Neurospora crassa OR74A: one gene and its partner. The protein of the gene in region 2 binds, or shares a complex with, the protein of the main gene of each other region. Links are inferred from orthologs where the notes say so. Each region holds a gene or a part of one and is shown on either strand. Other genes may lie near its edges.

Evidence for each region.
Region 1: NCU08552 (region 2) and NCU07057 share a complex: the UniProt entries of both Schizosaccharomyces pombe proteins name them as parts of the mitochondrial large ribosomal subunit. The link is inferred for Neurospora crassa OR74A from reciprocal best matches to the Schizosaccharomyces pombe genes mrpl38 and mrpl27.

What each region holds. Positions count from the first base shown.
Region 1 is NC_026506.1:333,776-337,223, reverse strand, and holds NCU07057 (hypothetical protein), read right to left. Parts: upstream 2,122-3,448; 5' UTR 1,841-2,121; coding exon 1,652-1,840; intron 1,512-1,651; coding exon 1,389-1,511; 3' UTR 616-1,388; downstream 1-615. Other genes in the region: NCU17062 (hypothetical protein), read right to left, coding at 1-322; NCU07058 (small nucleolar ribonucleoprotein complex subunit Utp14), read left to right, coding at 2,549-3,448. UniProt on the Schizosaccharomyces pombe protein: Component of the mitochondrial ribosome (mitoribosome), a dedicated translation machinery responsible for the synthesis of mitochondrial genome-encoded proteins, including at least some of the essential transmembrane subunits of the mitochondrial respiratory chain.
Region 2 is NC_026503.1:4,951,323-4,954,722, reverse strand, and holds NCU08552 (mitochondrial 54S ribosomal protein YmL38/YmL34), read left to right. Parts: upstream 1-1,180; 5' UTR 1,181-1,477; coding exon 1,478-1,492; intron 1,493-1,576; coding exon 1,577-1,661; intron 1,662-1,974; coding exon 1,975-2,270; 3' UTR 2,271-2,789; downstream 2,790-3,400. Other genes in the region: NCU08553 (DNA directed RNA polymerase II 15 kDa subunit), read right to left, coding at 3,140-3,184, 3,250-3,339. UniProt on the Schizosaccharomyces pombe protein: Component of the mitochondrial ribosome (mitoribosome), a dedicated translation machinery responsible for the synthesis of mitochondrial genome-encoded proteins, including at least some of the essential transmembrane subunits of the mitochondrial respiratory chain.

The sequences.
Region 1 (3,448 bases), on a different chromosome or scaffold from region 2:
ACCACTCAACGTATCCTTGACGGTTTCCCACGATCATATCGGGTGGAAGTAGGGAGTCCAGAAAGACCCTGCACAAGTGACAGCCCGCCCCTGCCGACTCGTGAAGGTCACAAATGCTGAAATCCCGCAGGTGCCAATCATCTTCGTCGGCAAGCACGGCGTCTTCCAGGTCCCAGAACCACGGCCCAGTCGTAGGGAACACTGCTTGGCAACCATCACAGAGCTTGTTAAGCTGCCTGGGGGGGTAGCGAGACTTCATGACGGGTTCCTCTGCCAAGGCATTGTCGATCGGTCCATGGTTGAAGTGGGCAGATGGTTTCATGGTGTTGGTTGATTATGATTAGGTCTGTTGTGGGATGGGCAGATGACATGTCAAGGTATCAAGTGAATGAGGAGAGGCTTGCAGCTTCAGGAAGAGCTGGGTGGCCAGGAGATTCAAGGGAAAGAAAGACCATAGACAAGTTCATGCAAAACAAATGGGATTGATGGGGCGCACTGGCGAGTTGGGGCGAACTTTCTCGACGGGATTCGCTCGTTTGAATTCGGTGATCCCTTTGTATGTCGTGAAACTTGAGCCGAAGGTGAATTGCTTCATGCCAGAGAAAGGTTCTTCTGGGAGGCGGTGGTTGCTTAGAATAAAGTAACTGAAGGTAAGGAAAGGAAGAAACCCGCGAAACTACCTCTAGGTAGAAATACCCCTCATTGCTAGGCACACAACGCACCTTCTCAAAGGCGACCAGGCAAAGGGCAAATAGAGGTTAGGCAACAATCAACAAGAGTGACCTAAGCCCTAACCCTATTAAAATCCCCGATCTCGCTCCCTCAATAATCTAACAACTGAAACAAGACCCCCTTGAATCTCGGACAGGGACCATTGGACACCTTTGGGTATAGTCATATAAATCGGCCTTGTCTCTTCTAGAAGAAAAGAAATGTGACGGCGAGATCATCGTGACATCAAAATTCAAAGAACCAATCCGAAAGGGGAGATGTATCGTAGGCAGCTCTGAAGGCGAGTGTTCTTTGAATACGTATGGTTAGCTATCAGGCTGTATCTCAATGGTAGGAATGTCGAGACCATCAGCCTAGGTAGCAGCGTGGCGACTCCAAAGGCAGAGAACCTGGACATGTTCCAATTTCACATATGACCCAGAACAGTGGAGCTGCTAGGTGGTTGATTCCTGGTGGTCAGGTCATATAATGTACAGTGGAGAGTGGCTCGTGGTCCTTCGAACGGGTCTGTGTCGGCAGGCTTTCGGAATGTAATCAGAACTTGGGTATATATTGCGTTTGGTAGTTTGATAGTTGAGTGAGCCTCGCTCCATTTCCTCGCCGTGGTCTGGTATCGTAATGTCCTCCTCCTCCCTCCTTGAAAAAATGACGACCGTTTAGTCGAGACCGTTCTCCGACTTCCAGCGAGCAAGGTAAGTGGCGGGGTTCTTGGGGCCGAGCTTGTCGCCGGGGAACTGGTCGTGGACGGGGCGGATGGTCTTGGAGACGAAGGGGGTGAGCTTTGTTGTTGTTGGATCTTGTTAGCATAATTCTTTTTTATTCTCTTTTGTCCTCCATTCTCGGTCCCTCCCCTAGCACCAGATCCCCCAACACATCCCATTCCAACCCCAAACCCGGACGGAAATAGAGGACCACCCACCTTGAAACCGGTCAGGTCCGGGCACACATAGGTGCGGACCTTGGTGTAGTCGATCTTGTAGGTACCGTAGCTGGTGTGCGTACCCATGGAACCGGTGCGGTTACCCTTGTAGAAACCCTTGTTGACGTCCTTGGTGGTCAGGCGCAACTTGCGGTACTTGAGACCTTGGAGGATGCGAGTGGGCTGCATGGTGGGCTAGGAGGATTGCGCTTTGCGGGGCAACGACGACGGAGAATTGCTTTTTGTGGTCGGTGATCTGGGTGGTGGAAGCACCTCGCTGTGGTGAGGGTGGTTGAGGTGGGCGCAAGTGGGACGGAGACGGGATCCGCTTTAGAGTGTTGAAGATCCGGCGCACGCGACAGGAACGGAGACGGGACTCGGACTCGGACTCGGACTGGCGCTGGACAACACGGACGGCGACGGGCAACGGGCGACGGGCGACGGGGTTGGAATCGAGAAATCGCAAAGACGTCCGGGGCCGCGCCGGGTTGAGGTGGAGCCATTTCAGAAGTTTGGAGCTCAATTGAGCCAATGACGTGAGGCTGGGAGAAACAGGTACCCCTGTAGCCTGCTGCGGCCCCGCAAAATGGGTGGGTGTTGCGCCCTCACCGCCCGAAAATTATCGATTACAGAGGCGGCAGAAAAAGTTTCGGGGGAGCTTGTTCACTGGCAGAAAGTTGAAGGCTTGGTGGGAGTTGCCGTTGAAGGGACCTGACCACTTCGACCTCCAGGACCCGTGCAGGCAAAAGTTGGACATTGACATCCATCGATTCATTCCATCCAACCACTGGACTTCGTCGACAATCTCATCACCCAATTTTTGCTTGCTCGACCTCGAACTTAATTGACTGAATTACCTTCCGACTTCCAATCAGTCAATTCTCAAATACCAGCAAAATGCCCGGCCGTCAAGCCCACGGCAGGCCTCTAATGCCCAAGTCGGGCGGCGGAGGGCGTCCCAAGCACAGAGTCAACAACAAGACTGCCGATAGGAAATCCAGAAACAACGTCCTCGACGCCTTCGCTATTGCCGCCGAACAAGTCCCCCAAAAGAAAGCCAAGGGCGTCCGCACACGAGACCTCGACGAGCCCGAAGAGCGCCCCCAGAAGAGACAACGAGATGGCGACGACGAAGACGATGAGGACGGAGACGAGGATGAGGAAGATCTCGAGGACGCCAGGCCACAAAAGAAGAAGGCCAAAAACAGCGACGATTTCGAAGGCTTCTCCGACGGTGGCGAGGACAGCGATGGCGAGGAGTGGCACGTTGGTGTAGGCGCTGATGACGAAGATTCCGAACTCGACTCTGATGAGGCCTTTGGTGAGAGCGACGAGGAAAAGTTCGATGGCTATGCCTTCAGCGGGAGCAGCTCCAACAAGAAGGGCAAGAAGGCGAAGAAGGGTGGAAACGACAGTGATGAGGAGGAAGAGGACGAAGATGAGGACGATGACTTGGAGTCGCTCGGTTCCGACGCCATCGATCTCGCCACAGCACTGGATCAGTATGAAAGCAGCGAGGAGGAGGAGGGCGAAGAGGAGTCAGGATCGGAAGACGACGCGGACAGCGAATCGAGCGAAAGCGAAGACAGTGACGACGATATGGAAGACCCTTCCAAGCTCGACGACCTCCAAAAGATGATCTCCGGGTTTGCGGGCGACGACAACGACGACGAGGAGCAATCAGGCTCGAAACCAACAAACAAACTCAGTCTCTCAGATCTCGGCCTCCTTGGCGTCCAGGACCCCCACATGAAGAAGTCTCTCAAGCTCATGAACAAGGAGGAAAAGGCCGCCAAG
Region 2 (3,400 bases):
GAATGAGGTTGCAAAGAAGGGCGGGCGGGCGGCCGAACCCTTGAGAAAGCTGAAGAGCTGAGTGGGAATGACTGGGGATGGAGGTCAAGCTTGGGTGAGGGTCCTTTTGCGGTCCGAGTCTTGTTGGTGGTTGGTCGGACTCGGGGGGAAATGGAGTTGGAGTGGTCCGGCGAGGCGGGTTGCCGTCATATGTATTCTTGTACTTGTTGTCTGTCTATGAATTCCTGAACTCAAGTGTGAAAGTGCGAGGAAACTGCAAGGTGGTGCGGGCTTCTTGCTTTTGGCTGCAGGGATATGAGGCAATAGCCTTGTTTGAGGGCCTTGCTATTTTACCTGGAGCTGTAACAGGAAGAACAGCAACAAACCGTTTGGTGGCAGTGAAGCTGAGGTGAGAATAAGCTGAAGCTCAAGGTAAAACTGCTCAAATCGATTGGAGAACAGGGAAAAAGGGGACGAGCAGAAACAAAACAAAAGGGGGCCCGGCATTGCAAATCTTCGCCTCTTTACTCCTCTTTTCACGATCCCACCTGTTGCCGTGGTAGCGGTGGTCTAGCCAAATTCCGAAAGACACAATTGGAGAATCAGCCGACGGGGGAGCGGGGACTTGGGGGAGAGTGGGAGACACCATCCTGGCTGGAGCTTGGTTGCGCCGAGGTTGTCATTGGTGGTTTGGGTCAGGGCTGATGGAATGTTTCTAACCAGATGGGGATGTTGCTAGCAATGGACGACTTGAGTCTCAACGATCATCTGGGGTACGCTTTCAGAGATGGGTACTGTATGTATATCGCTGTCTAACTTGCCTCTGGAGTCGTCGGGTAGAGATACTATGACAAGCTGTTTGCAAGCTGACTTGAGATGGTACATGCCCGGGCTAGCTGTCTGATTGTGTCCAGAATGGCCGCACTCATTATCTTCCTTGACAAATACAGACGATTCAACAGTTCATTGTCCAATAATGACTTCTCATAAAATGTGCTCATTGTTAAACTCTTCTTAACATCAACTACGGTCATTGAGTCCTCACATGTTCTGTTGCTGATGCCTCAGACTCTCACACTTTCAGAGCTTCAACTACAGCTACTTCCCGAAAGCGTTAGTGTAGTCAAAAAAGCAGCTATGTAAAGAGCATGCATGAGACACCCCTCCCGACTGGCTCCACACTCTTCGTCCAAGTTTTGGCGCGTCCCCTTCTTCTCTCTTTTCTCGCGTTACTTAGGAGCCTGCTTACCTAATGCAGGGTACGTACCTCTAACCTGGCATCCCCGTCCCGCAAACAATTTTCGATGGGGTCCCCGCGTCCGGCGGGCACGACGGACAGCAGCCGGCCGGCCGGTCATCAATCAATCAATCAATCGATCGATACGCGGCGTCAACCGTGGAATCCCCATTCAGTTGCCGGGTTTCGGTCCTCTCGACAGCCAACTAACTTCAGCCACTACTCGCTCGGTAACAGGGACAGAGTAACCGGTTGCCCAAGATGATTCAACTAAAGGTTTGTTTTTTTTTCTTCTTCCCTTGCTGTCGAACGAAAGCAAAAAGAGTTTGGTTGCTAACGAACCATGCGAACTGCAAACAGACGATGCTCAACTGCATCGACAACTCGGGTGCTGCCCTGGTGGAATGCGCCATGGTTGTCGGCCAAAAGAGGCATGCTTCGATTGGTATGCTTTCGAATTCCCTTTCGATTTCCGTTATACACCCACGAACCCATCGTCGACTCGAGCATATCATATCTACACGAACTACCCGATCCCTCTTTCGTACCCCAACACCAACACCGTCGTCGCCGTTCATACCCGTCCCATCCCGTCCGATTCTTCTCGTCCGACCAAGGAACATCTGGTCTTATACACATATCATACTTGCCTCTTGCCCCTCTTGTTCCTCCCTCCCCCTTCTTTCCCCCCTCTTGTCCCCCTCCCCCTTCTTTCCCCCCTTCTTTCCCCTCCTCATACCTCAACTAACAGAAGAAAGGCGACCGCATAGTAGTAGTCGTCCAAAAACAGCGCGGCGCCGACTCGGCCGGCATGGCCGCCTCTTCGGCCGCCACCAAGGTGAAGCGCGGCGACATCCGCCACGCCGTGGTAGTGCGCACCAAGCAAAAAGTCCAGCGCCGCGACGGTTCGGTCGTCCGGTTCGACGACAACGCCTGTGTCTTGATCAACAAGGCCGGCGACCCGATCGGATCGCGCATCAATGGTGTGGTGGGCCAGGAACTGCGAAAGAAAAAGTGGAGCAAGATATTGAGTATGGCGCCTATGCAGGCTTAGCTAGGCTTGATTGATCGATCAGGGAGGATATATGTACGATGGATGTAGCGGGAGAATCAAGATGGAATGAAATATGAATACCCGTAAAGAAAAAGAGTTGAGTTTGTTGGGGTGGGATGTGGCGTGACGCTCCTTGAAGTGAAGAGGAGTATGCTCGGTGGGATGTGTCATTGCGGTGACTTGGTGACTCTCGTGGGGGGTTTGGGTGTCGGCTCAGCTTGGGTTGGCTGTGTTGAGGTAATGACTGACGATGAGCGCTACGGAACATCACTTTGTTGATATCTGACGGAACTGTGGTTTGTGTGTCTACGGATTTCCAGGATGGACTTGGGATGGCCTGGCGTATACGGGTTTGAGACTGCGACGTTGTTCTCAAGGTACGACGGCTTCACACACCGGACATCACACCAAAATATGGTCTCATCGAACGGCCTTTCTTCAAGCGCCATTTTGGGTAACGATCAGCCAGCAGCAGCCGTCACATCAGTCGATTAGGTTTACCAGTCACTTCAGTTCGGGACATCAAGCGTGCCGTCCTAATCTGTGTATACTACTGTACATTACATGTCATGTCAAGCAAAACAACATCACCATTGCATATCACACGAAACAGTTTATAACGTTATCCACGAGATTCATGGAAAGACCATTTCTAAACCAGTGTCCTGCCAAAGCATGAAAAAGAAAACCAAACGCCCTAAACCGCGGTCCTTTTGAGTTAACCGTGTACAAACGCCACTGTAATGCAACTCATCATGACCCCCTGATCTTTATTAATCAACCTGTGATTTTTTCCGACCGCCCGCCTGTCCGCCTATAACAAGGATCGATCTGGCCCTATTCCTTCCGAGTGAAGAGTGAATCCCCCACTACTGGTAAATATTACCACAATCGCAGCAGACGTAGAAAAGTTTCTGAAAGTAACGTTGTTAACCCATGACTCTGGTGAGCCCCTCCCAGGCAGGTGAGTGAGTCTTACCATTCCGGTTTCCGAAGTACGCTGCTGTGACTGGAAGAAGACAGCTTCCGGGTGGTGGCAGGCAGGGCATTCCTTGATGGCTCTTGGGAGCTAGATAGCAAACGAAAGAAGAAAAAGAAGAGATTAGTCTCGATGCAAGCCAGAGCAAATG